2 linked regions of the Arabidopsis thaliana genome follow. The protein of the gene in region 1 interacts with the protein of each later gene in a pairwise test. Each region holds a gene or a part of one and is shown on either strand. Other genes may lie near its edges. The genes, in order: RIP4 and KINESIN-13A.

Region 1 (14,329 bases):
TTAAACACACTGTTTTGATGTAAGCTACATTTTACTTTATGTGTACATCTTATTGTGTTATATAAATTATTTCAAAATAAATATGTCCTACACGGTGCGTGGATAAATACCTTGTACACATGATAGTATATTGTTGGATCAAATCTTGTAACAGTTTTTTCTTATAACTTTATAACAACATTAAAGATATCGACAAAGACATTACAACCGAAAATCTCAATATTACACGTCGAATGTGGTCCGAGAATTTCTTTTGGGCACCAATATGTTTAGTGATATAGACATATATTTAAATGATTCGTCATATACTTAGAAATTCCGCCAATCTTTAAAGGGAAAACGACTTGTCATTGTATATATTTGCCATATGATACCACATCATCCCATGGACCAACTTGTATATGTTCATAACGTTGATATATAAAAGTTTATAACGACACCAAAACTTCATATAATTCTTATTTTTGCCGAGTGTCGACAAATGTTTTTATATTCTTAGAAAGTTTTAAAATCTTGAATTTGTCGAAGTTCAAAGAAAATAATCTTCATACTAGTCTTACACTCTTGGGAGATATCGAACCGGAAGAGTATGGTAAGTCCCAAGTCCCAACTTGTTCAGAATCCTAAACCGGTTCCAATGGCAATTACGTTAACAATGACACCTAATTCAATCCTCATAAAGAAGATGTAACTGATCAATGAAATAAATTACAGACAAGTGAGCAGATTTTGCAGTTGAATAGGAATTTGATAAATTAGCTTCTGTGAAGCAGCACACAATCATTGTCTAAATGTTTCATTACTAAGAATCTATGGAAATGATGAGCCATCATTTCGTCGACACACACACTTAGATCATCCGAAGTTAAAGAGCACACTGCTTTCTTGAAATACACGCTACTTTTTATTTATTATATCACTTCATTTCTGCCCTTTCTTCTTCCATAAGTCACCGAACATCTTCTTCCCAGAACTTTTCCTCTTCCCAGACCCGTCATCCGAATCATCAGCCATTCCCGGTGATCCGACAAACCTGCCTGCAAAATGCTTCTCCATTGACCCACACTGCTCTGAGAACCGACCATTCATCTCAACCCCTCCAGATAAAACCGCAGCTGCAGCATCTGCTGCTTTCCTCCACTGCTCTGTTTGGACCTTCAGCTTCTTCATCTCAGCTTCTAGAGTCTCTTTTGCTTCTTCCACGGATTCGAGCTTCTTCTTTAGCTTCGCTGTGGTCTCATTGCTTTCTTCCAATTCTTCCCCAATCTGACTCACCTTTGAAGCTATCTCATCCTCTTTCGCCTTTGCGCAGGACATTTCCGTATCCGTCTTCTTCAACTGATCCTTCAAGGTCTCATTCTCCTCGCTAAGTGATACCCTTTCTTTCTCCAAGTCATATAATCTAGCTTTCAATACATTGATTTGGTCTTCCTTAGAAGCCAATTCATCATTCTTCGTCTTCTCACTTTCTTTTGCTTTCTCATCAAGAACCTCGAACACATCTGTCTCTTGATGTCCATCTCCAGGAATGTCATCTCTCTCCGGAGCAGGAGTGTTCGGTTTCTTGGATTTCTTCCTATGAAGCTCTTCTTGAGCACGTTTCTTGGCAGCCTCGGCTTTAGCCAACTGCTGTTTGAGCAATCTCAACTCTTCTTGGGCTTGTCCTAGCTGTGACTCCAAGCCAGAGATGCGACTTCCAAGCTTCTTCTGACTCAGCGGATCTGTATGAGGCCCACCACTCCTTGGAGATCTACGGTCAAGGCCGAGCTTTGGACTCCGGTCTGTAATCGGACGGCTGAGGTGATGCGGATCAGAGGAAGTGGACAACAGTGATGTCCTTAGCCTAGGAGATTGCCTCTGAGGCAACTCTGAACCTCTAATACTACTCACAGATCAAAGAAGACACATATCAGATCATAGAGACTAACAACAAGAAAAATCTAAATCACATTTTTCATCAAGAATTGAAGTAAAACCCTAACCTTGGTTTTGGCATTCTGATTTATGCAAAGTTGCTGACTCTCCAAAGGTTAATGATCTGATGAAAACGAAAACATTCCTCAGAATAAAGCAGATATATGAACTGGTAAGCCACGCGCCACTAAGTGAGAGTGAGAAACTCTTAAACAGATTCCACTATTGGAGTCAAACCAGACACAAGTGAGATATAACAACACATTGCTTTTGCTTTTACTCAAAAACGCTTTAGAAGATCTAAGATAACAAACTTCAATCTTTCACCAAACGCTTTAGAAGATCTAAGATAACAAACTTCAATCTTTCACCAAGACTTGAATCAGATTTCTCTTGAGGAAAAGTTTCTTATCTTGCATACACACATAAGTAAATGGGTTGGTCTAATTGTAGAAACTAACCTTGAGGATAATGTAGAGTACTTTCTGGGGTTTCACCTGTGGAATTGAATACGAAGAATGATTGCGATATAGTCTTAACAAGTAATGCAAGCAGAGAAATAATAAAGAAGGACAAAGAGGAAATTGTTTTTGAATATGCTGCTGGTGTGATTAATTTTGTTGATAGAAACAAGAACACGAAGACAAGAAAACCCAAAATGTGGAGAAAAGAGAGGTCGTAGCTTTATGTCCAGAGAGAGAGACTCTCAATTCAAGAAGCAGAGAGATATTGAAAAAGTAGACGTTGGAAGATTTGAAATAAAGCTGGTGAAAGTGAATGACCTTTGGGGGAAGATAAAGGACAAAAGTGTAATTTACATGTCTTGGAGGGTGATGTCCCACATTTACATGTAATCATAATGTTTTGTTTTTAATTATCTTTTACTACATTAAGATTCCGTATCTTTGCATGATTTGATTATAAAAGTTGCCAAATTGTACCAATTCCTTCGTTCATTGGAGGTTTTTTTAAAAAAAATTCTAACGGATTTCTACTGAATTTCACAAAATGTAGTACAAAATTTGGCGTAAACGACAGCCAAAAAATGGGAAACAAGGCAATTACACAAGAAGTTAAGAACCCTAAACCTAACATACGAGCTAAATATAAAATTTTGAATCAAATCATGTTACTTCTATTTATAAAGACAAAAAATGGTTTAAGAGATAAATAATTTATTACACGCATGTGTGGGTACCCTTATCAATCGGTCTGACATTGTTTCTTTCTTTTTGTCGGTTTCAACAAAGTTCAAACTCTTTTCTTTTAGTTTCTCTTCTTCTTTTTATATTCCAATCGTTCTCTTTTTATTTTTTTTACTTTATAAAACCGTAAACCAATATATTGATATATGTTAAGCTTAATGTATGAATATACCCATTTTTATATCTATTATTTTAGGTTTCAATGTTTCATTGTACTTCAAATTTGGGATTCCTAATGGTAAATATCATAACACTACTATATGAAAATGGATATAATGTACAACATTCAAGCTTTATATTAAAGAAACCCATACACAATGTTGAAAAACAAAACCCCGTAACAATCTGTGTTCAAGATGAAATATCAATCACTACTAATTATTTTTATTTCACTTTTATGTGCCAACTATCTATTTATGTTTTTTACATAACATTAATCACTCACTACATTTTTGTAGTATAAAGTAAAAGTTGACAATTGAAAATAGTACAGAGCAAATTGTAAGTAAAATTCAGCGCCACTATGATTTTTGATTGTAAGTAGCATCTACCTTTAACTTTTGGTTCTTTTTATGATGATGTTGTTGATAATTCAAGTAACTAATAAGAGTACTACATATCAATCAGTACCCAAAAGAACAAAAAAAATCAAGATACTGAGTTTTGGGAGTTGTGAAATTAGAGGTCCATTATTCTCTTTTTCGAACATAAATTCATAGAAGAAAGTAAGAAACCCCATAAGACACACTAACACAAACATTAGCTGCTCAAATCAAGATATTAAATGTTGAAAATTAGTTAGCTGCTAGTCATAAATCATAATCCATTAATTATCTTTTATAATTTCCATCTTATAACGAACCCATACAAAGACTCTAGAAGACATATATGTTGACAAAAGCCGACTCTAGAACCCTAAACCCCTAATTACTGCTTTGGTCAACAATCACCAACTTTGACCTTCTCTTCTCCATTTAGAAATTTGCAATCAAAGAGACACAAAACAAGTGATCTTCAAATTTTTTGTCAATGCAGATTGAAAAAGAAGAACCACAAAGAATTAAAGAAGCTGTAACACAACCCAACCTTTTTCTATTAAAACTGGAAATCATTTCGTTTCTTTTCTTTCTTCCTATAGGAACAGACATATATGAATGAAGTTATAATCATCATCAGATTCAGACCCATGAGTTTCCATTATTATCCTATTTATTGCCAGGTAACTTCAGTTGGTGCACATGTCGTCGTGGCATGAACCTCTGCCATAGACACAGCCATAGCCATCATCATCTGTTCCTCAAAACTCTCTGGAACAATGACCAGAGGTGGAGGAGGAGGAAAGTTGTGGAAGCCCTCGCCTGTCATGTAAGAACTTACATAGCTGTTGCTGCTTCCTGTTTCTCCCATCTCGTAATGATGACGATGATGATGATGGTTGTCTATGCCATCTACCTCTTGTTCTATGTCGTAGTAACTGTCACAATTTCCGGGAAGCATACTGTATGAAGAAACGTTGACATTGTGATTATGATTGTGACTGGAGGATTCGCCAACCATTTGGCGTTCAGCAAGTGCGGAGATTGCACAAGAAAGCCCACCAGATGATGAAGACGGTGTTGCTGGTTCTACGATTGGAGTCACTCGTGGTGGTGAAGAAACATAACTATGATTATCTGTTACATACTGCCTAGAAGAGGTAATTTCCCCTGAAGCTGAATTTCTCTGCGTCCCTGTTTCCTGTTAGAATCAGTTTAAAAAGCTATGAGAGAACTGAAAAATTTAATATCAAAAGTTATACAAACAAATAATTTTACCTGAACAGAGAGCCATATTGCTTCCATGACCATCAATTCCTCAAGGTCAACGTCAACCTCATCCTCCCTGAAGAGTTTATAGACAAATCAAATATATGAATCACTCTTCATTTCTAAGTGAATCTGTGTTCATATCACTTAGCTCCAAAAAACAAAACAAAAAAAGTCTAATCACGGTGTCATTGTAATTCAGAAATTTCATGGTTACAACTACTACATTACTCCATATATGAAGTTGACAAAAAAAAAAAACAGAGCAGCCAATGGAAAGACAGACCTGTTTCCTCGCGGGCGGGAATGTTGTCTAACAACAGATGCGTTCTGCGATGGAGCAATTTCCCCGTCATCCATGAGGGAGTTATAAGATATGGCTGCAAACCAAGGGACAAAAAGGAAGCCTGTCAAAACCGCCTTTGTTTGTTCCTGATGGAAGATTTAACACGTTCTTGCAGTAAAAATAAACCGACCTGAAGTTGAACCATATTCCATCTCGCCAGTCATTGCGCTTGTGCTAGAGGAACATGATTCAAGACGTTTCTGCATTTTCTCTTCATCATCCTGCATTTCTTTCTGCCTCATCCTTATTTTGGCTTCTATTACCCGTTGCTCTTCCTGCAAAAAGATACAGTGACAGAATATACCACTTGAGTAAAGCACCATTTCATCAAAGCTTATCTAGAAAAAAGTTATGTTGTGTGGAAATTTTAAGACTTACAACTTGTTCAATGCCCTTTTCCTCCTTTGACTTGACTCCACGATACTCGACAGCATAGTTGGGAGTTTTACAAAAAGGGCACCTCATAAATGTCAAGGAGGACACAAAAGGGAAAAAACCCATCAAATTAATAAGAAATTTTCTCAAACATTAAGCCAAATGTTAAAGAAGCCCCTAAAAGCTTATGCAAAGGATTTAAAATGAAGGATACTGAGTAGGCCGAGCTGAATTAGGATTCTTCATTTGCAAAAAACACTCTGCAACAAATGAACAAAGAATGCCATGTCAAATGAAATGGAAACATGAATAGAACAAAGAAGCTAAAGTGTTATTGAATGTGTTACCTGTACAAATGCTTTTCATGCAACATCTTGATCTATTGAGGCTAGGATAGTACTAGAAACACAAGAAGCAAATATCACAAAGTTAGATCTTACATGACAAGAATGTAGTAGTTACAGAGACTGAGAGAAATTCACAAACCAGAAAACAAATTGGACATTCTTCAAGATCATGACAGCTTTCATCGTCTCCAGGATAGCAAGGAGCAAGCTTAGACTCCACAATCAGTTTTCTGAGCTTTTTAACGTCGACATCTTTATTCACATACAAACCTTGAGGCTTTGTATACCTTTCTTCCACCACTTGCCTCTTCCTTCCCAACTTATTACCCATCACAAAGTTTTAACCTTTCTTCTACTAAACCCTATTCTCCTATTACCTTGTTAAAAGCAGAGATTCTGTTTCCTAATCTCACATTAACACCTAAAATTCAATTTGTTTCTACAATGAAACCCACTGGAGAAACAAATAAGCCTAATTTCTAACCTAAAGGTACATACTTTAAATTGGAAACAACCTCCACCACATAACCTGCGCAAATGGTAAATTCAATATAAGAACACAATTGGGGCAAAACCCTAATTTGAGAGAGAAAAACCCTAACTTTGGAACTAATTCAATTCGGGGCTGGTTACATAAAACATTATCAAACCCTAATTACGTAATTTACGTATCGAAGTTGCAAAATATTCCACGAATTGAAACAGAAGAAACCCTACAAGTTCTGATAAAAAAGTACGGAAAAAGAAGGATAAATCGGAGAAGAAAGAAACCTGAAAACTTCGAGGGCAGAAGAAAACAAGAGACGAGAGATCAAACAAGGGTTTTTGGGTAAACGATAAGAGACACGATCAGAACTTTACTCTGTAGAGATAGAAAGAGAGAGAAGAGAGAAGCAAAGATAATACAGTGTTGTGTGTCTCTTTCGTATTATATAAAATTCATAGGGAAAAAAAACAGAGAGAGATTAGAACAAGTTCTGTATCTGCAAATTTCTTTTTAATATTTCGACGGAAAAATCTCAGAAGAGAGAGAGAGAGAGAGAGAGAGAGAGAGAGATGGTGATGATGTGGAGAAGCTAAAAGGGAACAGGAAACGATGGAGTAAGAGACGAGCCAAAGAATCCAACTCTTTGCTTCTTTCTTCCTCTCCACGCGCTTCTTTCTTCGCGTGTGTTTTTCATTTTCGTGTAAAACGACGTCGTTACGTTTATTTATGTTTTTTTTTGTTTGTTGACCAAAAAAGGATTAGAATATACGAAATCTTGTGAAGGCGGTTTTGTCTTAAGCACCGAGTTGGATCAGAATAATGTCTTTTTTAACATTTTATTCTTTAATTGTATCTTTGTTTGTCGCATTTGCATAATTGTATAGTCCAATATTCGTAATTTACCATCAAATTTATTAATGGAAAAAAATAAAGAAGTTAGTATCTTTGGTGTGTTACGAGACTCATTATGTGTTCAAAGTTTTGGTGATATTTCATAAACTAGATTAGTCGGCGTTAATGTTATATTTAATTGAATTTAAAAATGGTTCTTGTTGACGACAATATAGCTTAGTAGGTTCTACTTCTATTAGCTAATAATTTTTAATAGACTTGTATTGTATGTTGACGTATAATGTTTCGGATAATCGTTGAATCAACCCAACTATATACCAGAAAAAACCCTGAAAATAACTACCAGAAAGCTAGATTAAGAAAGAACGTTAAATAAAACAAGAATTGTAGATGAGACGATTAAAATCGTGAGTGTGTTTTGGGTTGATGAAAGGAAATGGTTCACCCAACACAAAATTGGTTAAGGTTGGTTAGAGAAGGTTAACCATGAGTTTTGTTGCTATTTGCCTCAGCCATTTACGCACTTACACAAAAACCTGTTTTATATATAAACACAAGAAGATTAGTTCATATAATGCTTCATTTGGTTGTTGTGAACTGTATCGCATGTTGGATTCTAAAAATTGTGAAATAGTCACAAGAATTAAACAGTTTTTAGTGAAATTACTAATTTTAGTGAAATCAAAATTCTTTTAGTTAAAAACATTATTTTGCAAGAAAAGAAAAACATGAAATATAAATATATAAAAAATATGGAAAAAAAAGTAATACCTAGTTGGACTTGGGTAGCAAAGACGCCCCATAGAGAAAAGCCCATAGTTGAGGCCTGACTTCTTAATCTGCTAGTCGCTTTCAATGCCTTTGTCACACACTCACACTTCTTGTTTTGATAATTGGTTCTAAAACCCAAATACACAGAAAATAAGAGAACCAAGTATTAATCTCGCATATACTTGGGCTTCATGGTCCTTTTAAACAACATATGAAAGCTATAATAAGCCCGTTTAAAATTCGGAGACATGGGCCGTACTGAAAGGTAACTCATAATTACTTTCCAAAACACAACATTCGTTATTGGACCTAATCTCAAGAGTGACGATCCAGTTAAGATGATTAAATCAAATCAACAACAACATTATCTCATTAGATAAAAAAGAAAAGATTTTGGAAGAAAACGAATGATTTAAAAATCATTGCACAGAAATTATTAATGACTCAATATTCTGACCATAGTTTATACAATTCTTCCATGTGAGGCATCTCTTTGAATAATCTATCGAACTCCGTCGTCGTCCCCATTCGTCCTCCTCCGCCGCCACCGCCGTGGAGCTGTCTGGTATCTTCACCGATTTTACTACCGCCATCGTAACAACGGCCGTCGAAAGCAGAGGGCGAATCAAAAGGACCGGCGGCGACGATGGCGTTCTTACCGGTGAGTTCTTGAACAACGGTCTTGAAGCTACGAGCATCTGTCTCAACATACTGTGTGTTAATGAACACAACCTTCATCGGCTCCGATTTCACTTTCCCTCTTCCAGACATTATTACTAAATTAATCGATTAGAGAAACAAGAAAAGAAAATTTTGTGGTGTTGATGATTAGGTTGATCAAATGATCTTAGTACTTAGTATATATCAGCTTTAGCTCTCTTCCTGTGTCTTTGGGTGTTCAGATGTTTTGTAGATTTATATGCATAGTTGCATACTTAGGTATTTATAGAGAGATTAAAGAGAGAAAGATATAATCTCTGTGGGGTACTGAAGTGACTCATTCAAGTAAATTTTTTCGTATTCTTTTTGAAACGATTTTATAATCGTAATCTTGTCCTACATGAAAACATATGTGACGACCTATTTTTTTCTTGTTTTTTTTCTTCCTGACGTCATGATACATTTTCGACGACCAACGTTTTTTATCATATTCGTTGAATTCCTAATAAATATTTTCCTAATTATTATATTGGCCGAAAATATTTACGGCTCTAGTCTAGAAATGCTTACCAATGAATTTTATGAATGAAGAATTTTTTTGACTAATTAAAGACTTTTTATACATCTGTTGATGAAACAATTACTGCATTCTGTATATTCTTTAGAATTTAACAGCAACGGTAAACTTAAAACAATTTTGAAACTGCAAGAAAATAACTTAATAGTAATTATTTAAAATCAAAGATTAACTACATATAATTATTTTTATAACCTATTGTTGAGAATATTAAACAAGGTAACTATTTGTTATACAAAGCAACAATCATTCAACATTTACTGAGATCAATCGAAAAGCACATGGCTTTGTGCATAGATAGGACCTTTGATCATTAAGACATGTTGACCGTTAATAAAATCTAGCAGCCTTGAAGGACCAAACATTAAAATTTATATATCACTATCACCATCAAAAGTATTAAAATTACCAAAAATCATAGTGTATTTTCATTAGATTGGGTCAAAGCACGCCTTCTTTGATGAAATCCTGTTACATCACGTGAAACAGCCTAAGAAAAAACTACTGAAAACTTACCAAGTATTTACACGTGAGTAGAATTTTGCACGTCCCCCCACACTATTTCGTTATGACAAAATATAATCGTCTTTGATTATGCTTCTAGAAAATAGTAAGGTGATGTCATTTTTTTCTTCAAAAGGTGATGTCTTTTTTTTCCATCGACAAAGAAAACACTAATGGCTTTAGTTTATTTTTTCAAGATAAAAATTTCTAATCAAAACATCCCAAATGGGGCTTTTAGTTAATAACCATGTTTTCCCTTTTTCCACAGCCAACAGCATATGAAAATTTTATACGGTTTAAAACATAAAAAATAGGAGGTAACATATACTCACATCATTGTAAGGTAAATTTTAAATGTTTGCATCTTGAATTATATTGATATATAGATTTTATTTTATTTTAAATATTGATATAAATGAGTAATGGATCATATTTTTGTAGATTTTACTATTTAAAAGAGATTAGAAAAAAAAAAAAAAAAAAGAGATTAGAAGTTCAGCATGATGCACAAGAAGTCACTGATAGTTACATACGATGTTTCATGGGGAGTTTCATAAAGGGACCCAATCATTCATTCAATTCCCTGAATTTTTGTTTTGTTGACTCAGACTTTCACTAACAAAATTCTTCTCAGAAATTGCAAATTAGTTCATTGTACGGTTGTACTTTTGCGATAGCCCTAATTATTTTCAGTTGTTACCAACCACACAAAAATTATATTGGCTTTACCAAAATTTTCATATGAAGAATAAAATTATATATGGATCAGTTTAAGCCTTAAGGTAAATACAAATCAATCCGTTATCATTTATCACTACACTACAACTTTTAGAAGTTGATACGTAATTATGTATAGTCTATTTTTTGTTTGTTGATAAAATTTGGTGCAGTACGTTATTGTACGTACAGTTTTGATATCAATATTAATAGACTGATGAACATACAAAGGGAAAGTCAAGTTTGGCTATAACGGATCAGAGTAAGGTTTTGACTACAAATCTTGACTCAGGAACCTGACTGTTTTTTATTTGATCGCCTTTGAAATTAAGTATATACAAAGTTTGAACAGATTAGTTATTTTATCTCAGCTTTTACCGCCGGTAATATATAGTTAACTATTTCGACTGGGGTAAGTTATGTCCATTTGAGTTTCAGCATTTTGGAATTTAACTTTGAATGAATATAAGTAAGTAATTAACTATTGTTCTGTTTTTATAGCAGATAAAAATTCACCGAAGATCAATTTCTTTTTTTTAAACAATCCGTAATATTTTACTTTACAAAATTAAATTCCAATCAGATTCGAAACTATGAGTTTAGCTTGTTACATCGTGTAGAGTTGTGTCTTGAGATTAGCCCAGCCCATGTAGCACAAGTTATTGGGTTTGTTACAAAAGTGAAGCCCATATTTCCCAAATAAAATATGGGTGTTTGGTGGCGTGTTCTGTTGGGTGGGTGTTATGCTACATGGGCTAATCTAAAAAGTTATTCAGACCCAAATTGCCCACATAAATTATCCAAGCCCTAACACAACTATACACTTATAAACAACTTTTTAGTGGTTTTAATTCAAATATTTAATACGGGTGTGATATTTTCCATGCTATCTATGGTATGTACAACTTGTTTTTGGTAACCGATCCAATTTGGTTGTTGTAATTCGAAACCTAAATTACTGCGAAAACACTGATCGATCCGTACAGAAGCAATTTATTGATAATTTTGATCCACAAATTGTTCGACAAGATTGGAACAGTTTACCTTATATACTATTATTCTGCTCATATTTAAGGAATTTTTAAAATATACCGTTATAATTTAGAATCATATCAGCAGTCAGAAACAAATCAATTGGTACTCTTATAGAAACACATTAATTCAGAAATAAATCAATCTGTATGATTGACGAAACCATTAAATTTCAACCCAAAATTTCAGCCACTGATGTAGGTTTCTTATAGAAGTGTCTAGAGATCGCACTGGTATATAATACGATGGAACACAATACGATACTATCATTCTCTCAATCATAACTACTTTTTTTTTGTACATTGTCAATTATCAAAAACAAAGAAATGGTGTCCACTATCTCCGGTTTTAGCTTAATTTTGTTCATAGCTGCCGTCGCTAGTAGCATTTCAGCCGCCCCTTCAGCCGCTCTCGTCGGAAGAAAAGTCTTCGATGTTCGAAGCTATGGTGCTCGTGGTGACGGCAAAACAGACAATACTATGGTAGTGAAATTTCTAGTTTTGTTTTTGATCCAACTTATTCAACATTAATGTTCTGAATTTGTTGATTAATTCTAACACATGTTTGACTTATTGTCTTGATTTGGCGTTTTAGGCATTTACAAAGGCGTGGAAAGACGCTTGCCAATGGAAAGGATTACCTAGAGTGTATATACCATTTGGAACCTTCTACCTCGGTGCTGTAGCCTTCACGGGACCATGTAAAAGTCGGATTAGTTTCATCATCAAAGGAACTTTGTTAGCTCCAAAAGATCCTAACGCCATCAAACAAGACAGCTGGATTATTTTTAGGTACGTTGACTATCTCACGGTTTCAGGCGGCGGCATCCTTGACGGACAAGGAAGCTACTCTTGGCCACTCAACAATTGCCGCCAAACCCATAATTGCCGGGCTCTACCGATGAACATGGGGTTCCAGTTCGTGAGATTCTCGAGACTCACGCGCATCAAATCGATCAATAGCAAAATGGGCCACCTCAACTTCTTCTCAGTCCAACACTTTGATATCACACGCGTCAACATTAAGGCTCCCGGAGATAGCCCTAACACTGATGGAATCAAGATAGGTTCATCAAACCACATGAAGATCCACCACGTTGACATAGCAACTGGCGACGACTGCATCGCTATCTTGTCGGGAACCTTCAATTTGGATATCAACAAAGTCAACTGTGGACCGGGCCATGGAATCAGCGTTGGAAGTCTTGGGAAGTTTAAAGGTGAGAAGAGCGTTCAGGGATTAATTGTTAGGAATTCAATCTTTAATGGTACGAGTAATGGAGTACGAATCAAGACATGGCCTTCGCCGGGTGAACCGAACTTAGTTTCGAATTTTCTTTTCAAGAATCTCCAGATGATTGATGTCCAAAGCCCAATCAACATAGATCAACGATACTGTCCAAATCCACCGTGCAGCTTTCAGGTAACTTCCTTAACAAGAAACAAGGTTTTAGTCTTTTTGACATGACCTAATTTGATTTTCTTCTTTTTATTGTAGTCTTTTTCAAAGATTCAGATAAGAGACGTGAAGTTCCAAAACATTTGGGGAACGTCGACGGCCAAGGAGGCAGTGAAGTTGCAATGTAGCAAGAATGTTCCTTGCAAAAACGTTCAGCTCTTCAACATTAACATAGTGCACCGTGGGAGAGACGGTCCAGCAACCTCTGTGTGTGAGAATGTTGGCGGTTGGATAGGTGGCAAGATTTCTCCTCCGTCTTGCATCCGGTGATCCACATTTTGAGTTTTTATTATATGATCCTGATTAGTTTTTTCGTAGCTTTTATTATATTTGTAATTCCTGATATTCTCTGATCACTCGTTTAGTTTGTTCATGTTTGAACCCTTCTAAAGGGAAGTGAAGATTTGAAAGAGAACAATAAATCTTATCAATTTCTTTGATAGTAACTGTTATAATTTCCAGCTATATTCTCTCGAGTAGAAGAAGTTTGGGCCAAGTCATAAAACATAAACGTTTCAGCGGATTGTAAAAGTTGATATCTCCACTCGCCTTTTGTTTTAATTTTGCTGAAAAACGACGAAATCTCTGGACGAGTCCAGCCGTTTTGTATTCGTGTCGTTGACGCGCTCTAGGTGCGCGTAGGATTATTTTACAGTTCGCGTCTTTAATTTAAGTGGCACACGGTAGTCATAATTGTGAATTAGTATTCATTTTGTGGCCTAGTATAAGCCCACTATGGCCCAATATAAGTAGCCCATTGCATCTACAACTAATTGGGTATTTTCCTAACTATATTTTGGTTCATTCAAAATTACTCTTCGCATATCTTACGCATTTTGAATGAACCAAAATATAATATAAGTAGCCCATTAAATCCTTTTCAGCAAAGAATATAAGCTATTTAATTGATTTATTTTCTTTTTTTGATAAAGAAGTTGTTTAACCTTTTACACGACTAATTACCAACTAGCTCCGTTATCTTTACTTTGCTATAACTTAATTAACGTGTAACGTGTACGTATCACGTAATGTATGAACCACATATTCGATTTCCAGTGGTTTCACCCACCACTTTGGCACTTTCTATACATTCTTGCATTTTGATTTTCTTGTTCTACATGTATTTAAAGTAATATGAGGACAAAATGTATATCTACGAAATACTTACGTGGATATGTAAACATACACTCATCTCACGTTCAGTCCGAACAAACTACTAATGTGGATATGTATTTTACAGTAATACCCTTTTGATATGTATGGTGACATTCGAACCAAT
Region 2 (17,583 bases), on another chromosome or scaffold:
GAAGAGCTAAACAGTAAACGCCATGCAAATGACCATGATAAGATCGAATAACCTATCAAAGACAAATTCCAAAGACATTGGACATGAAAAGTTCAGATCAGGAGAAGAGTAATTAATATACAGATGAGATGAAATCCATCATCGAGTTTAAACCTTATTCTGCTCAAGGTCCCAGCATTTGACTTGCTTGTCATCACCAGCAGAAAACATATAGGTATGTCTATTGCTTACAGCGAGGCCTGTGAAACAATAATTATATAAACTTAGAGAGTTGAAACTTTTACACTGGTACTTTTCTACAAGAGCTATTGATAAACTAACAAATTGAGGGGGAAAAAAATAGTAGTCTAACCTCGTACTTGCCCTATATGTCCAGTAAGTGTGAGTTTCAGAACTCCAGTCGCTACATCCCATATCTAGTGAACAAGAGCCACAGAAGCAATCAGTAAGATTAATTCATGAGATATAGGTAAATGTTGCATGAAGAACTAAAAAACGGGACCTAGCAAATGACAATTCATATTATAGAATCCAGAAAAGGTTACAGAAGAATGGGAAAAAAGGCATTGAATTAGATTTTCAATAGAGTTGATCCGTTACCTTGATGGTACGATCAGCTGAACCAGTGCAAAACCATTCATTGCTTGGGTCAAACGCAACAGATCTGACCCAACCCAAGTGTCCCTGGAGCACCTGTCAACCAAAAAATGCATCAATTCATAAGAACATAAAGTACTCTCTGGACGCCAACAAATGGCCTAAGAATACCTACACACTTAAATGTTATATCCATAAGATGCAGAAATATTACAGTAACACAGATCTTACCCTGTAATTCTTCCATGGTGCATGCCACTCTGGACGGGGCCATCTACTAGGCATTCTCTCCATTAAAGCAGCAGTTGACAGATTTCTGTAACACATAGAGGGGAAATGATGGACAAATAATGAATAACTGAAGCATTGATACAAGTTAGATGCATTTCAGGTTAAATAAATATGGCCAAATTTAAATTTCATGACTCTGAACCACCAATTCACCTTAGTGCGGCTTTATGTACCACCTAGGTATCGCAATCTAGATGTAGTGTCGTTATAGAGAGTCCATAAAAGTAGATAAGGATGCGACACAAACCTTTCGGAAAATGATCCAGGTGCAGGAAGAATGGCCGTGCTTTTGCCTGGATTACCAGTATTGTTCCTTCAATTCAAGAATCAATAATTATCAGTATCAATCAGCACGATAAGTAGAGCATCAATCACAAAGACAAAACAGGAATAACATTCTTGAGAATGTCGTAAATTATTTATACTAACTATATGGACTAGTCACATTCCAAATGAAAATGTATACTCACAAGTCTCTTGGCGGTAAAGTTGGACCAACAACTAAAGCTTTCTCTGTTGCGCTTTTTCGAAGTTCCTTGGACCCTTTTGGACCTGCGGAGAAAATAATTTGGTCTTTCAGAACGAGAAACAATAGTCATGAAAAAGGCTAAAAGATTACACTAACAGCGTTTTTAGTGCAGCAGAAGTTTGTTTGAAAAGATACTCTTAAGAGGATACATTACTGAAACTTGTTTTCCAATCCTAATTATAGACATATATGAATGAAACTCACAACTAATATAAATAGATATCAGGGAAACTAGAAAATAGGAAACTAGTTTTGTCTCACAACAGGAAAAACAGATAAAAGAACTACCTGGAAGCGCAAGGGCTTTCAATGGAGCCGTCTTTTCACTGTTATGGTCAGCAATACGTGTAGGCTTACTTGCAGGTTCTACGCCTCCAAATGCAACTTGAATCTATACAAGTAACGTCCAAGTCATTAACTTTTATATTCTACTTGATGTTCACTAAAACGCTTGATGCAAACTAAACATCTTACTATAAAGATGAGGGTAATATGCTAGAAAGCAAACTCAAACAATAGTAGCTGATGAGAAGAATCTAACTCCAGATAAAAGGTAAACTATAAAAGTGATAAGCCATTGACTGTTCGATTTACACCTTATAAAATTTTCTCAGGTTCAACGTCTCTGAAGCTTGCTATAAAGCTATCCATTATCAAACTCAAAACAAAGAAGAAGCGAACAAAATTTTCAACACGATCAAAGATAAAATTTAAAAAATATTCGAAAACCCCCTTACCTTATGGCAGAGCCGAATTCTTTTGCTGCGAGACAAGAACAAAAACAGACAAGAAGAAGAAATCGTCAATACACATAAAAATTCTGAGAAATTTCGAGAAAAAAAAGTGGACATTGCAAGCGAAACTGTTGATTAACCTTTCAGGATCAGGCTGAGGAAATTGGCCATGGACGGGGGAGAAAATTTCACGAGCTCGTCTAACAGATTTTAGACTGAGTTTTTTCAGTGACTGAGTTTCGACCTCCCTGTTCAAAGCTATCATCGTCATTCTAGGGTTTTACACGAACAATCAGAAACAGAACGAGAAAGACGGAAGAGAAGAGAGGGAAATAGGATTTTATCCGACCCGAACACTATTTATACGTAGCCCAACACTCGAATCCCCACCCGTTGGACCAAACCCGGCTCATTAAGCGTCGGTTCAGATTTATTTCCTTTATTTAAAAAAAAGGAAAGGGTAAAAAATAGAAAATTGGAAACAGTTAAAGCCCAAAATTGTAATTTACCGAGAATTGTAAATTTACCTGAAAACCCTACGCTATAGTTTCGACTATAAATACCAAACTTAGGACCTCACTTCAGAATCCCCTCGTCGCTGCGTCTCTCTCCCGCAACCTTCGATTTTCGTTTATTCGCATCCATCGGAGAGAGAAAACAATCAATAAGCGACCATGTTGGTGTACCAAGATCTTCTCACCGGTAAGCTCAATAATTCCTTAATCTCGGTATGAACTGTGTAGCTATCGATCTTTTTCTTCCGATCGGAATAAATCATGTTATCGAATTGTTAGATCTGTCATCGCATCATAGGTTTTTCGTTGATTTGCTGCTCTTTGCATTGATAATTCAAATCTTAGGGGATTAGTTTATGTGATTTGGTTAGATCTGTGATTCATTAGTATATAAACGTCCTTTAATTGAGCTTACCGATTCGTTGTAGATTGGATTTTAGGGTTTATTCGCTTGTATCGATTAATGTTTGGGATCTTATGAGTAATGACTAAAGAGTCTGGGCTATTGATTTACAGGTGATGAGCTTCTGTCTGACTCTTTCCCTTACAAGGAGATTGAGAATGGAATCCTCTGGGAAGTAGAAGGAAAGGTCAGTGTCATCGATTCTACTTCAAGTTTTGTTTTGATTTTGTTAAATTTTTGTTTTCCTGTTCTGAATTGGGTTTTGATTTTGTTATCCAGTGGGTTACTGTGGGAGCTGTAGATGTTAACATTGGTGCCAATCCATCTGCTGAAGAAGGTGGTGAGGATGAAGGTGTTGATGACTCTACTCAAAAGGTTGTTGACATTGTCGACACCTTCAGACTTCAGGAGCAACCAACTTATGACAAGAAGGGATTCATCGCTTACATTAAGAAATACATTAAGCTTTTGACACCCAAGCTCAGCGAAGAAGATCAAGCTGTCTTCAAGAAGGGTATTGAGGGAGCTACCAAGTTTTTGCTCCCCAGGCTCAGTGACTTCCAATTGTAAGTTACCCCAATCTATCGTATCTTGCTTGTTATACATGACATATATTTCATCTGAAATCTCATCAATGCTTGTGTTGTCTGATTTTACAGCTTTGTTGGGGAGGGTATGCATGATGACAGCACTTTGGTCTTTGCTTACTACAAGGAGGGTTCAACTAACCCAACATTTTTGTACTTCGCTCATGGTTTGAAGGAGGTCAAGTGCTGAGAGAGAAGCTCTCGTTGGGTTACTGTGGTCGGTCGCAGCGACTCTCTAAGTTTATGTTTCTTTATATTGTCCTGTGTTTCGTCGTCGTCCCCTATTAAAATTACCTGCCAGTTTACTTTTCTCTCTTCTTGTTTTCTGTGTTGGAAGATTCTCAAGTTATTTATTCCGCAAAAAACGGTTTATCATTTACAATTAGTTGAATTTTGGTCGTTACTTTTTGTGTTATTTGGTGTGATATCTCTTCAGCTTTGCTTTTCTAAATTAAACTCCCGAATCTCGAGGCATGTTTATAGTAGATGTCTAATAATTTTGGATTCAGATCTTATGGACGTGAATAAACGAGTGGGTTACTCTAACTGTTAGTAACTTTAAATCATGGAATATGCTGTAGAATGATTCTTTTGACTTTAGTCTAATGGTGTTTTATCCCTTTAAAAAGAAAAAGTTTCGTACAGACATGATGTCTTGAGACATCATCATAGGCATGTTCTGCTCCTTATCAAGGATTTCTATCTCACGTGCGGAATCGATACTAACTAGAGTTCTGTCATCTTGGTTTTAGTTGTGAGACAAATCACAATGTGGCCGTAATAATAATGTATTATGTGTATTCTTTTACTTTGACAAACAACACAACCTATCCTATGCTTTACTATTCTTTTAGTTTGTTGGTTTTATTATTCGAACTATTTATTTATGTATGTGTGGTGTCCGTATGGATGAGAGGGCAACCAAAATGCGTTGGTACGTATTTGTGTCTCACGTAAAAGGAAACGTGATTTGGTCTTGGTCGGTTTGACGTTGCTCCAACTCTCTTGTATCTTATGTATTTATCGTCATTATTTCTTCAAACTTTGTTGTTCCTTTCGTTTTAGGCTTTTAGCCTACACTATTTAAACATTTCTTATGTAACAAGTAGTATCAACTTCTATCTATATGACTATATTGACGTAGCCATACAAAGGAGGTAGATCATCTAAACTTACACAAAACTAGAGAGACCAATGTTTTTAGGAAGGATAAATAAAGGAAAAGCTCCTTTCATACTGGTTTATATAGTGATTACTTAAAATCAGGAATCCTTTAGATCGGAATGCTTTAGGCTAAAGCAAAAGCTTTTTGATTCAAAAGAAAGGAACCCACAAGCTGTATTAGCCCCACTTCGCTACTTTTGCATATTCTCGTTCGTATATTTTATTGGATTAACACTTTTTTTTGGGGTTTAAACAGTACACATACATACACAAGATTGGTACTTTTGATATACACTCACTTATATTCGCACATCTAAACAATTCAAAATTTGAAACCGTATAAAAATTTAAACAAACATAAGAATATATAAGATTAGATCATTGTCATGTACTAAAATTCCAAAAGTTGTGGATTTCATGTCGAGAAAAACTCATGTCATCTTCCTCGGACAATTTCAAATTTCATCTCTATTACCATAGATGGTCCAAAACAACATCCTTAAATACCATAAAGTAGCTAAAATCTGAAAATGCACATAACTGATCAACCCACCAAGGTTATATTATTAGTTATACTACATATATAATAAACCAATCAATGTTTATGCAATCTGCTCAAAAAGGTATGAGATTCATACCGTATGATTCAAGATGAGAACATCAATTCTATTTTTATGTCACCATGTTGGTATATGTCCTTGTGTCACGATCTCAGCAAAAAAATAATATTTCAACACTATCTTTTAGAATATATAAGACCGTTCAAAGAAGATTGTTTCAAATGTTTTGGACTAGACTGTACAATCTTAAAAAGTAGGACAAATCGGTGAATATTTCTGAAGTTAAAGGGTGATCTAACTGTCACTTTTTTAAAAAACTTTTAAACACCTCAAACTTTTTAATTTATTGTGTAAGTGTCTTATACTTTGTCAAATCTTCTTCAACGCCCCTCTCTTTCTCATCTCTCTGCGCCTAACGTCGCTTACGGAAGAAGACGAAAATTTTGAACAGAAGCTCTCTCTCTCTATCTCTCTATCTCTCTATCTCTAACGCTATTCGATGTGCGTAAATTAGGGTTCTTCACTCGTCGGATCTGATTGTATATTGTGAAAATCTCAGATCTCAGATCTCTTATCTAACACCGTTGCGTGTCTTCGTTTCCTTCTGGTAATCATTACTTTGGATAACATCGATCTTCTTCTCCGATTATTGGATGCAATTTATTGATTGAATTTCAGATTTTGAAGGAGGTGAAGCAAAGTCGGGAGCTGTACATTTCCGCTTTCATGTTCTGTGTTGAATCCGAATTCTCTCCACATTGTGAGTTTCTCTTCGATTTGAATCTAACATTCTATTGTTGAAATTAGGAATTTTTTGATTTGTAACAAATGGGTGATTCTGGTTTTTGTATGGATGAAGAGTTGTTTTTACAGATCTCCGAAGTTGGCTCCTCAAAGAAGATCACAGCGCCTCATGGGCGGCCAAATGCAGCAAAACAATGCTGCGGCTGCGACGGCGCTTTACGATGGGGCTTTACCCACTAATGACGCAGGAGATGCAGTCATGGCACGGTGGCTTCAATCCGCTGGTTTGCAGCATTTGGCGTCTCCTGTTGCTTCTACAGGCAATGATCAGCGTCACCTCCCAAACCTTCTCATGCAGGTAATTGCTTTCCCTGATTCTTTGTTTCTGTACTCTTCCAATATTTTGCATGCCCTTTAGTTTTCTTGATGGAGTTTGCCCTAGCTTGGTAAAGTATGCAAATTTTGTATTAGACGCAGATAGCCAAGTTTTGTTAGAGTTTTCGGTCGCTAATTCCTGCGCACATTTGGTGTTAGACTACTAAAAACGCTGCAGTAGGAAATTAGGAATGTAGGATTGTTTCTCCCTGTTATGGATATTAGTCATAACGTATCTCAAGGAGAGCTTGGAATTTGTTTGGCCATTTATGTAATGTGATTAAGTTAGATGTTTGCTGCAGGGTTGTTAGTGATTTCTTCTTCGATTGGTAAATTTCTATAGAAACTTTTGCCTTGGCTCTTGTATAATTCGCATGAACGGGTTCTGATATTTGAAGCATCCTTTGTGGTGTTTGCGGTATCTGCTAGGGTTATGGAGCTCAGACTGCTGAAGAGAAACAAAGACTGTTCCAACTAATGAGAAATCTCAATTTTAATGGGGAGTCGACTTCTGAATCATATACACCAACTGCTCACACATCAGCAGCTATGCCCTCTTCGGAAGGATTTTTTTCACCTGAGTTCAGAGGTGATTTTGGAGCAGGATTATTGGATCTTCATGCAATGGATGATACAGAGCTTCTATCTGAGGTATGCTTGGAAGAAGAACTAGTGCAAAGACTTATTCATAGTTACTCATTAGTGCCCATGGATAACAGAAAGATCATAAATTTTCATCATCAGATTGTCTGTTCTTGTGTTACATCCCAGTTTTCAAACTGTTCTTGCCAATCTTACATTGCCATATTGAGTCCCACCTAATCCATTGGCTTTGTGCACATGTAATCTATCTGCGAGACTTCTGTAGGCAACTTCTGATCTTGACACTCGAATGGATTTAGCGAGATGTGACAGTTTTGGTCTTGTTGTCATTAGAAAAGCATCTGAGCTAAATAACTGCTTGTTGCATTTGCTAGTTCATAAAGAAAGCGATTATCCATGTGAAAGTTACCAACTTTTATGATACGTGACTTTCCTTTCATTTTGCAGCATGTGATTACCGAACCCTTTGAGCCGTCACCTTTCATGCCTAGTGTAAATAAAGAATTTGAAGAAGACTATAATTTGGCAGCTAATCGTCAACAGCGGCAACAGACAGAAGCTGAACCTTTGGGTTTATTGCCTAAAAGTGATAAAGAAAATAACAGTGTAGCCAAGATTAAAGTAGTGGTAGGTCATTCACTTGAGAACTGACATGTTTCCTTACTACTTGATTGTTTTATAAGCAACGTTCATTATGACTAGGGATGATTGGGAAACCACTTTTTTTTTTGTCTATAGGTAAGGAAAAGACCCCTAAACAAGAAAGAAACAGCTAAAAAGGAGGAGGATGTCGTGACGGTATCTGATAATTCTTTGACTGTCCATGAGCCCAGAGTGAAGGTTTGTGTGCATTCTTCATCATAGATAACAATGGCAAACATGATTCAGTTGAACAACTGAACGATGGCATCCTGCTATTAAAGGTCATATATTCTTTTCATTTAATATTGTCTTTTCGAATATTGAATGAACCGTAATCTTGTTGGTGCAGGTTGATTTGACTGCTTATGTGGAAAAGCATGAGTTCTGCTTTGATGCTGTTCTAGATGAGGATGTTTCAAATGACGAGGTAAGTTAAGAATTGAGCTTATTGGAAACCATAGAAAATCCTATTAGGTGTCCGTGATGCAACCTTGAGCTTTGGTAGATTTATGATTTATGTCAAGGTCGACATACCTGATTGACCTATTAACTAGATCATAGCATGTGGTTTCCCCCAATCCAGATTGGATTGATGTATGGATACATTAAGCTTTTTATATATACAGAAGCTTTATGCTGCTTTGAACATGTTTGTTTGTTTCCTTGAATAGGTGTATCGGGCCACAATTGAGCCAATAATTCCCATTATTTTCCAGAGAACTAAAGCTACATGCTTTGCATATGGCCAAACAGGTATGCAATGACATTAATGTTCATTGGGAAATACACTGATAGTTATACTCTTGCTAACAGATTCCAGTTTTTAGAGGATAATAGATTAATAGTTTCTTCATGCTTTCATGGCCCTAATGATGTTTTGCTTATTCAGGTAGTGGTAAGACATTTACAATGAAACCATTACCTATACGAGCAGTTGAAGATCTTATGAGGTTGTTGCGTCAACCAGTATACAGCAATCAGAGGTTTAAATTGTGGCTCAGCTATTTTGAGATATATGGTGGAAAGCTGTTCGATCTTCTCAGTGAGAGAAAGTTAGTGTTCTTTCTTTTTCTCATTTCTTATAAATGTCGTCTTTGTTGAGGGGTTTTATGTTTTCCTTTTCTTTTGGCATATACTTTGTTCAGGCATATACTAGCTTATAATTGTTATTTCGATGTCAGTATATCGTAAACATTGGCACTTATTCATCCTATCAGTGTCAATACTTTCCATTGTTGTCTACTACTATCGCAAATGCATGTTTACCATTGTCTAAATCATTCAGTTATTGCCGAGTAGGAAACTTTGCATGCGAGAAGATGGTAGACAGCAAGTTTGCATTGTTGGCCTGCAAGAATATGAAGTTTCAGATGTACAAATTGTAAAGGATTTTATCGAGAAAGGAAATGCCGAAAGGAGCACAGGTTCAACTGGAGCAAATGAGGAATCTTCTAGATCGCATGCCATCCTACAGCTTGTTGTAAAAAAGCATGTTGAGGTAAAAGACACTAGACGGAGGAATAATGATAGTAATGAATTGCCTGGGAAAGTTGTGGGAAAGATTTCTTTCATTGACCTTGCTGGCAGTGAAAGAGGTGCAGACACCACAGACAATGATCGCCAGACAAGGTAAAGATTCTCTTTGCCCCTGTGATTGAGTAGTTTGAGAATTGACCTACCACTAATGTGTAGATTAAAATTTATGCCTCTGTTGGACTTGTGGGCATTGATAAAGTGGCACTTTGCTGCTACCTTTTTACTTTAGGACCACCACACTTCAGATCTAAATGCTTCATTGTTTTCATTGTGGATTTTTCTTAGGATTGAAGGCGCAGAAATCAACAAGAGTCTCTTGGCTCTTAAGGAATGTATACGTGCACTGGACAATGACCAGCTACATATACCATTTCGTGGAAGCAAACTAACGGAAGTGCTCCGTGACTCATTTGTTGGAAACTCAAGAACGGTGATGATTTCCTGCATCTCTCCAAATGCAGGATCGTGTGAACATACCCTCAATACTCTAAGATATGCTGATCGGTATGTTTTGTACAAACTATAGCCTCTTGTGAAACAAATTCTCAATTTCATCGTCTATTAACCTCTGTTGGTTATGTATGGAATAAACAGAGTCAAAAGTCTATCTAAAAGTGGAAATAGCAAGAAAGATCAAACTGCGAATTCAATGCCTCCGGTTAATAAGGATCCTTTGTTGGGCCCAAATGATGTAGAAGATGTCTTTGAGCCTCCACAGGAAGTGAATGTACCAGAAACCAGGAGGAGGGTGGTCGAGAAGGACAGCAACAGCAGTACGTCGGGTATTGACTTCAGACAGCCTACAAATTATCGAGAGGAAAGTGGAATCCCATCATTCTCAATGGACAAGGGAAGATCAGAGCCGAACAGTTCTTTTGCTGGCTCCACTAGTCAGAGAAACAACATTTCTTCATATCCCCAAGAAACTTCAGACCGTGAAGAGAAAGTAAAGAAAGTGTCACCACCTCGTGGGAAAGGGTTGCGGGAAGAAAAACCAGACAGACCACAAAATTGGTCTAAAAGAGATGTCAGTTCGTCGGATATCCCTACCTTGACAAATTTTAGACAGAACGCAAGTGAAACTGCTTCAAGGCAATATGAAACCGCTTCAAGGCAATATGAAACCGACCCTTCGCTTGATGAAAACCTCGATGCACTGCTTGAGGTAAAGTACTCACCTATCCCTTTAAAACATGAGATGAAGCTGTGAATTTGATTTGCAAGTAACGGTAGTTCTGTTTATGTCTTATCGTAACCATCACATGACTTTTTTCAGGAAGAAGAAGCTCTGATTGCAGCGCACAGAAAAGAAATTGAGGATACAATGGAGATTGTTCGCGAGGTATGTAAATCACATCATTGCAGCGCACAAAAAACGATTGTAGAATGTTATCACATCATTCAATTTTCTTTTCTGTTATATCATTATCAGGAAATGAAACTTCTAGCGGAGGTGGACCAACCGGGAAGCATGATAGAAAACTATGTGACGCAACTGAGCTTTGTGTTGTCCCGGAAAGCAGCAGGGCTAGTCAGTCTTCAAGCCAGGCTTGCTCGGTTCCAACACCGTCTCAAGGAACAAGAAATACTGAGCCGTAAGAGAGTTCCTCGGTAGTTGGTAGAAGAAGGAAAACCAAAAGTGTGGTGTTGTTTAAGTGTGAAAGGTTGGTTGGGTGATCTCTTCTTATATATGACAAAGAATGACAGAAATGTCCTTCATGTTTGTGAATTTGGGCATTTCTTTCCTTTTATTTTTGAATCTTTATTATAAAGTTATACCTTTTGTGTTTCTTATTTTTCTCTTCTCCTCTATCCTCCCAGAAAGCTGGATACTGTCAATGTGAATCAAACTCTTTTATCAATCAACTGAAAAAGTATAAAACCATTTATCATCTGAAAATGTTTCAAAATTTGGTGAGCCATATATAAAATCAAATTTCTAACAATTAATAAGATCTTCAAATACCATCTATATAGTGACAACCAATGAAAAGACAGTTGAATAGCTCCAAAAGAACAAATAAAGCAATTCTCTCTTGTCGTAAAGATAAAATGGCCAACAAGATTATGCAGCCCAACTAAAAAGGCCTTGGCCCACACTTTACTATTGATCACGTGACATGCCTTTTTCACGATTGCAATATAAGAGCCATTTTCCACCGTCCGATGTTAAAACCCAAACCGATTTAAACCGTCCATGAAAGTCGCTTATCTCCTTCTCCTTCCCGTCGTAGTCGCACTGTCGCAGGCGAGTAAAAGGCGATTTATACAAATACAAAAAAAGCGCATGAAGTTGTTTTTTTTTCTTTCCAGACTTTTGCCTTCTCTAACCAGGTTAGATTCTCGCCATCACTTTTTCTCCTCAATATCAATAGATTCTTCTTTGTATTTTCTGAATTCCTATGAGCAAAATATACCTACGATTTGGAAAATATTAGTTTCACTCCCATTTAATTTAGTGTCTTGTGGATTTAAAAGTAACGAGGATACAAAATTTGGTTGGTGCAGTGTTTCGTGATTTTGGGTGATCCTAGAAATGGGAGATGGGGCTGAGATTGTAACCAGGTTATATGGGGATGAGAAGAAGCTTGCAGAGGATGGTAGAATTAGTGAGTTGGTGGGATCTGATGAAGTGAAGGATAATGAAGAAGAGGTCTTTGAGGAAGCAATTGGTTCGCAGGAGGGTCTAAAACCTGAATCTCTCAAAACCGATGTGTTGCAAGAGGATTTTCCTTTAGCTTCCAATGATGAAGTGTGTGATTTGGAAGAAACAAGTAGAAATGAGAGAGGAGTAGAAAATTTAAAGGTTAATTATTCGGAGATTGGAGAGAGCCATGGTGAGGTTAACGAGCAATGTATAACTACGAAAGAGGCTGATTCTGATTTGGTGACTCTCAAAATGAATGATTATGATCACGGGGAAGTAGCAGATGCAGATATTTCTTATGGTAAAATGGCATCAAGCTTGGATGTGGTTGAGAACAGTGAGAAAGCTACTTCCAATTTAGCTACTGAGGATGTGAATTTGGAAAACGGAAATACACATTCTTCTTCAGAAAATGGAGTAGTCTCTCCTGATGAGAATAAAGAACTGGTGGCGGAAGTTATCTCAGTAAGTGCCTGTTCCGTGGAAACAGGGAGTAATGGTATTGACGACGAAAAATGGGAGGAAGAAATTGATGTATCAGCTGGCATGGTAACAGAACAAAGAAATGGTAAGACTGGTGCTGAGTTCAATAGTGTTAAAATTGTTTCAGGTGACAAATCCTTGAATGATAGTATTGAAGTAGCAGCTGGGACCTTATCTCCATTGGAAAAATCTAGTTCGGAGGAGAAGGGAGAGACTGAAAGTCAAAACAGTAATGGAGGACATGATATTCAATCTAATAAGGAAATTGTAAAGCAGCAAGATAGCAGTGTAAATATAGGTCCAGAGATTAAGGAAAGCCAACATATGGAAAGAGAATCTGAGGTATTAAGTTCTGTTTCACCAACAGAGTCTAGAAGTGATACTGCAGCATTACCACCTGCTCGCCCAGCAGGTCTTGGTCGTGCTGCTCCACTTTTGGAACCTGCACCACGCGTTACACAACAGCCTCGTGTCAATGGAAATGTGTCTCACAATCAGCCTCAGCAAGCTGAAGACTCTACCACTGCAGAGACAGATGAGCATGATGAGACCCGTGAGAAGCTCCAGTTTATCAGGGTCAAATTTTTGAGGCTTTCACATAGATTAGGGCAAACTCCACATAATGTTGTTGTTGCTCAGGTTTTGTACAGGCTTGGATTGGCTGAACAGTTGAGGGGCAGAAACGGAAGCCGTGTTGGTGCCTTTAGTTTTGATCGTGCCAGTGCCATGGCAGAACAGCTTGAGGCAGCTGCACAAGATCCCCTTGATTTTTCTTGTACGATTATGGTGCTTGGTAAAAGTGGGGTTGGTAAAAGTGCAACCATCAATTCTATTTTTGATGAACTGAAAATTAGTACTGATGCATTCCAGGTGGGGACAAAGAAGGTTCAGGATATTGAGGGTTTTGTTCAGGGAATTAAGGTACGGGTAATTGACACTCCCGGTCTCTTACCATCCTGGTCAGATCAACACAAGAATGAGAAGATCCTGAAGTCTGTTAGGGCATTCATCAAGAAAAGTCCGCCTGACATTGTGTTATATCTTGATAGGTTGGATATGCAAAGCAGAGATTCTGGTGACATGCCTCTCTTACGCACCATCACTGATGTTTTTGGACCATCAATATGGTTTAATGCCATTGTGGGTTTGACTCATGCCGCTTCGGCTCCACCAGATGGCCCAAATGGTACTGCTTCTAGCTATGACATGTTTGTGACACAACGTTCTCATGTCATCCAGCAGGCCATTCGCCAAGCAGCGGGAGATATGAGGCTCATGAACCCTGTTTCTTTAGTTGAGAACCACTCTGCTTGCAGGACAAATCGGGCAGGCCAGAGAGTATTACCTAATGGCCAAGTGTGGAAGCCTCATTTGTTATTACTCTCATTTGCATCCAAGATTCTTGCCGAAGCAAATGCTCTTCTGAAATTACAAGATAATATTCCAGGGGGACAATTTGCAACTCGGTCCAAGGCTCCGCCACTACCATTGCTCCTCTCATCGCTTCTGCAATCAAGACCACAAGCTAAGCTTCCTGAGCAACAGTACGATGATGAAGACGATGAAGATGATTTAGACGAATCATCAGATTCTGAGGAAGAATCAGAGTATGATGAGCTTCCTCCCTTTAAGCGGTTGACTAAAGCAGAGATGACTAAGCTTAGCAAATCTCAGAAGAAGGAATATCTCGATGAGATGGAGTATCGGGAGAAACTATTTATGAAGAGACAGATGAAAGAGGAAAGAAAGAGACGTAAGTTGTTGAAGAAATTTGCTGCTGAGATTAAAGATATGCCTAACGGGTATAGTGAAAATGTGGAAGAGGAGAGAAGTGAACCTGCATCTGTTCCAGTTCCAATGCCAGATTTATCTCTACCTGCATCTTTTGACTCTGACAATCCTACTCATCGGTACCGGTACCTTGATACCTCCAATCAATGGCTTGTTAGGCCAGTGCTGGAAACTCATGGGTGGGATCATGATATTGGTTATGAAGGTGTGAATGCGGAACGACTATTTGTTGTTAAAGACAAAATACCAGTATCTTTCTCTGGCCAAGTGACAAAGGACAAGAAGGATGCACATGTGCAGCTAGAATTGGCCAGCTCGGTTAAACATGGAGAAGGTAGATCAACTTCCCTAGGTTTTGACATGCAAAATGCTGGGAAGGAATTAGCGTACACTATTCGAAGTGAAACAAGATTTAACAAGTTTAGGAAAAACAAAGCAGCAGCTGGTCTCTCTGTTACGCTCTTAGGTGATTCAGTTTCCGCGGGACTAAAAGTCGAAGATAAGTTGATTGCTAATAAACGGTTCAGGATGGTTATGTCAGGTGGAGCAATGACTAGTCGTGGAGATGTTGCTTATGGTGGTACTTTAGAAGCTCAGTTTCGAGATAAAGATTATCCGCTTGGTCGGTTTTTATCAACTCTTGGACTCTCTGTGATGGATTGGCATGGCGATCTTGCTATCGGAGGGAATATACAGTCTCAAGTACCCATTGGACGTTCCTCTAATCTCATTGCTCGTGCTAATCTGAATAACAGAGGAGCAGGGCAAGTAAGCATCCGCGTAAACAGCTCTGAGCAGCTTCAACTTGCTGTGGTTGCACTTGTTCCTCTGTTCAAGAAGCTTCTTACTTATTATTCCCCTGAGCAAATGCAATATGGACACTGATGAGTAACATTTAACTGTTTTGATTTTTTCTTGAAACATGTTTTTCTTTTTTTAGTTGTCGGAATTCACTTTTGTTTTAAGTCTTTGATGTTTGGTTGTAACATATGTCTGAAACTTAAAATCCATTATCCCAATGTTTCTAAGTCTTCTTGAAACCTGTATTCGCTCAAGGAATCTGGTCTTAGGTCAGGTCATTCATCAGCATCTTCTTAAACGCTCTCTTACGTTAAGTTCCTCTACAGTGCTCGTCAATTTAACACGTCTTTACGCATCATGCAATGAAGTGGAACTTGCACGCCATGTGTTCGATGAAATTCCTCATCCAAGGATCAATCCTATTGCTTGGGATTTGATGATCAGAGCCTATGCTTCGAATGATTTCGCGGAAAAAGCTTTGGATTTGTACTACAAGATGCTGAATTCTGGTGTTAGACCCACGAAATATACGTACCCGTTTGTTTTGAAAGCATGTGCTGGTCTTCGAGCAATTGACGATGGTAAGCTGATACATAGTCATGTGAATTGTAGCGACTTTGCAACTGATATGTATGTATGTACTGCTCTGGTTGATTTCTATGCTAAGTGTGGGGAACTTGAGATGGCTATAAAGGTGTTCGACGAAATGCCTAAGAGAGATATGGTTGCTTGGAATGCTATGATTTCTGGGTTTTCTTTACATTGCTGTTTAACTGATGTCATTGGATTGTTTTTGGATATGCGTAGAATCGATGGTCTGAGTCCTAATCTATCCACCATCGTTGGGATGTTTCCTGCACTAGGAAGGGCTGGTGCATTGAGGGAAGGGAAAGCTGTTCATGGGTATTGCACAAGAATGGGTTTTAGCAATGATTTAGTTGTTAAGACTGGGATCTTGGATGTATATGCCAAGAGCAAGTGCATTATCTATGCGAGAAGAGTTTTCGATTTAGACTTTAAGAAGAATGAGGTAACCTGGAGTGCTATGATTGGAGGCTACGTAGAAAACGAAATGATAAAGGAAGCTGGAGAAGTGTTTTTTCAGATGTTGGTTAATGATAATGTGGCAATGGTGACGCCAGTTGCCATTGGGCTTATTCTGATGGGTTGTGCAAGGTTTGGAGATCTAAGTGGAGGGCGATGTGTACATTGTTACGCGGTTAAAGCAGGCTTCATCTTAGACTTAACTGTTCAAAACACCATAATTTCATTTTATGCTAAGTATGGAAGCTTATGTGATGCTTTTAGGCAGTTTAGTGAGATTGGCTTGAAAGATGTTATTTCATATAATTCTCTCATCACTGGGTGTGTAGTGAACTGTCGCCCAGAAGAGAGTTTTCGTCTATTTCATGAGATGAGAACATCTGGAATTCGTCCTGATATTACAACATTGCTTGGTGTCTTAACCGCTTGCTCTCACTTGGCTGCTTTGGGACACGGTTCTAGTTGCCACGGGTATTGTGTTGTTCATGGCTATGCAGTTAACACAAGCATTTGTAATGCACTGATGGATATGTACACAAAGTGTGGAAAACTTGATGTAGCCAAGAGAGTTTTCGACACAATGCATAAGCGGGATATAGTTTCGTGGAACACAATGCTGTTCGGATTCGGAATTCATGGTCTTGGCAAAGAAGCTCTTTCTCTGTTCAACAGTATGCAGGAAACAGGTGTGAACCCAGACGAGGTGACTCTTCTTGCTATTTTGTCTGCTTGTAGCCATTCAGGACTAGTGGATGAAGGGAAACAACTGTTCAACTCCATGTCTCGAGGAGATTTCAACGTCATCCCAAGAATAGACCATTACAATTGCATGACTGATCTTCTAGCCCGTGCCGGATACTTGGATGAAGCTTATGATTTTGTAAACAAGATGCCATTTGAGCCCGATATTCGCGTGTTGGGTACACTTCTCTCTGCTTGTTGGACGTACAAGAATGCGGAACTTGGGAATGAAGTGTCGAAAAAGATGCAGAGTCTTGGTGAAACAACAGAAAGCTTAGTTCTTCTATCCAACACCTACTCAGCTGCTGAGAGATGGGAAGATGCAGCTAGAATTAGAATGATACAGAAGAAAAGAGGGCTTCTCAAGACTCCGGGTTATAGCTGGGTCGATGTTTGATTAATGATATGAAATTAGGGTTTTGCAGTGGAAGAGAAAAACGTAATCGAGAAGGCAAAGAGAATTGCTTACTCTGTTTTCAGCTTCCTACTTGAAATCACAGCCGTTAAAAACAATTTAACTCCTGAAATCAGATAAGGACCGTTGGATTAGTATGTGTGTAATATATATATAGCAATCTTATTGGGCCAACCGACTTTACTAATAAAGTTTCGTAGTATTGAAGGTATATGGAGAAGAATATGTTAATTTGTTTCTCTTTAAAATATGTTCCTTGCGATCGTCTATTTATTTCTCTGTCCAAGCCAACCCTAACAACAGTGCGATTCTTATCCTCAGACTCGTATCATCTTTATACTAATTACGTTCCAATAAATTCGGATTCTTTCTCTGTTCTTG

Evidence for each region.
Region 2: the proteins of RIP4 (region 1) and KINESIN-13A interact in a two-hybrid assay, tested with the Arabidopsis thaliana proteins (one study listed by BioGRID).

What each region holds. Positions count from the first base shown.
Region 1 is NC_003070.9:29,497,272-29,511,600, reverse strand, and holds RIP4 (ROP interactive partner 2), read right to left. Parts: upstream 2,651-14,329; 5' UTR 2,376-2,650; intron 2,039-2,375; 5' UTR 1,997-2,038; coding exon 1,983-1,996; intron 1,883-1,982; coding exon 922-1,882; 3' UTR 580-921; downstream 1-579. Other genes in the region: AT1G78420 (RING/U-box superfamily protein), read right to left, coding at 4,329-4,856, 4,934-5,000, 5,211-5,304, 5,401-5,545, 5,649-5,730, 5,860-5,905, 5,993-6,044, 6,132-6,323; AT1G78410 (VQ motif-containing protein), read right to left, coding at 8,547-8,873; AT1G78400 (Pectin lyase-like superfamily protein), read left to right, coding at 11,919-12,074, 12,187-13,014, 13,090-13,320. UniProt on the Arabidopsis thaliana protein: Acts as a scaffold, mediating interaction of ROPs with different proteins.
Region 2 is NC_003074.8:5,655,972-5,673,554, reverse strand, and holds KINESIN-13A (P-loop containing nucleoside triphosphate hydrolases superfamily protein), read left to right. Parts: upstream 1-5,603; 5' UTR 5,604-5,987; intron 5,988-6,058; 5' UTR 6,059-6,140; intron 6,141-6,239; 5' UTR 6,240-6,293; coding exon 6,294-6,482; intron 6,483-6,928; coding exon 6,929-7,150; intron 7,151-7,549; coding exon 7,550-7,729; intron 7,730-7,840; coding exon 7,841-7,942; intron 7,943-8,093; coding exon 8,094-8,171; intron 8,172-8,415; coding exon 8,416-8,497; intron 8,498-8,633; coding exon 8,634-8,796; intron 8,797-9,043; coding exon 9,044-9,373; intron 9,374-9,565; coding exon 9,566-9,784; intron 9,785-9,874; coding exon 9,875-10,445; intron 10,446-10,556; coding exon 10,557-10,622; intron 10,623-10,712; coding exon 10,713-10,895; 3' UTR 10,896-11,180; downstream 11,181-17,583. Other genes in the region: AT3G16650 (Transducin/WD40 repeat-like superfamily protein), read right to left, coding at 1-52, 154-239, 353-416, 601-693, 829-913, 1,136-1,201, 1,359-1,440, 1,706-1,808 and 2 more; TCTP (translationally controlled tumor protein), read left to right, coding at 2,826-2,853, 3,183-3,256, 3,349-3,635, 3,729-3,846; TOC120 (translocon outer complex protein 120), read left to right, coding at 11,817-15,086; AT3G16610 (pentatricopeptide (PPR) repeat-containing protein), read left to right, coding at 15,220-17,184. UniProt on the Arabidopsis thaliana protein: Internal motor kinesin involved in trichome morphogenesis. Participates in regulating the formation of Golgi-associated vesicles.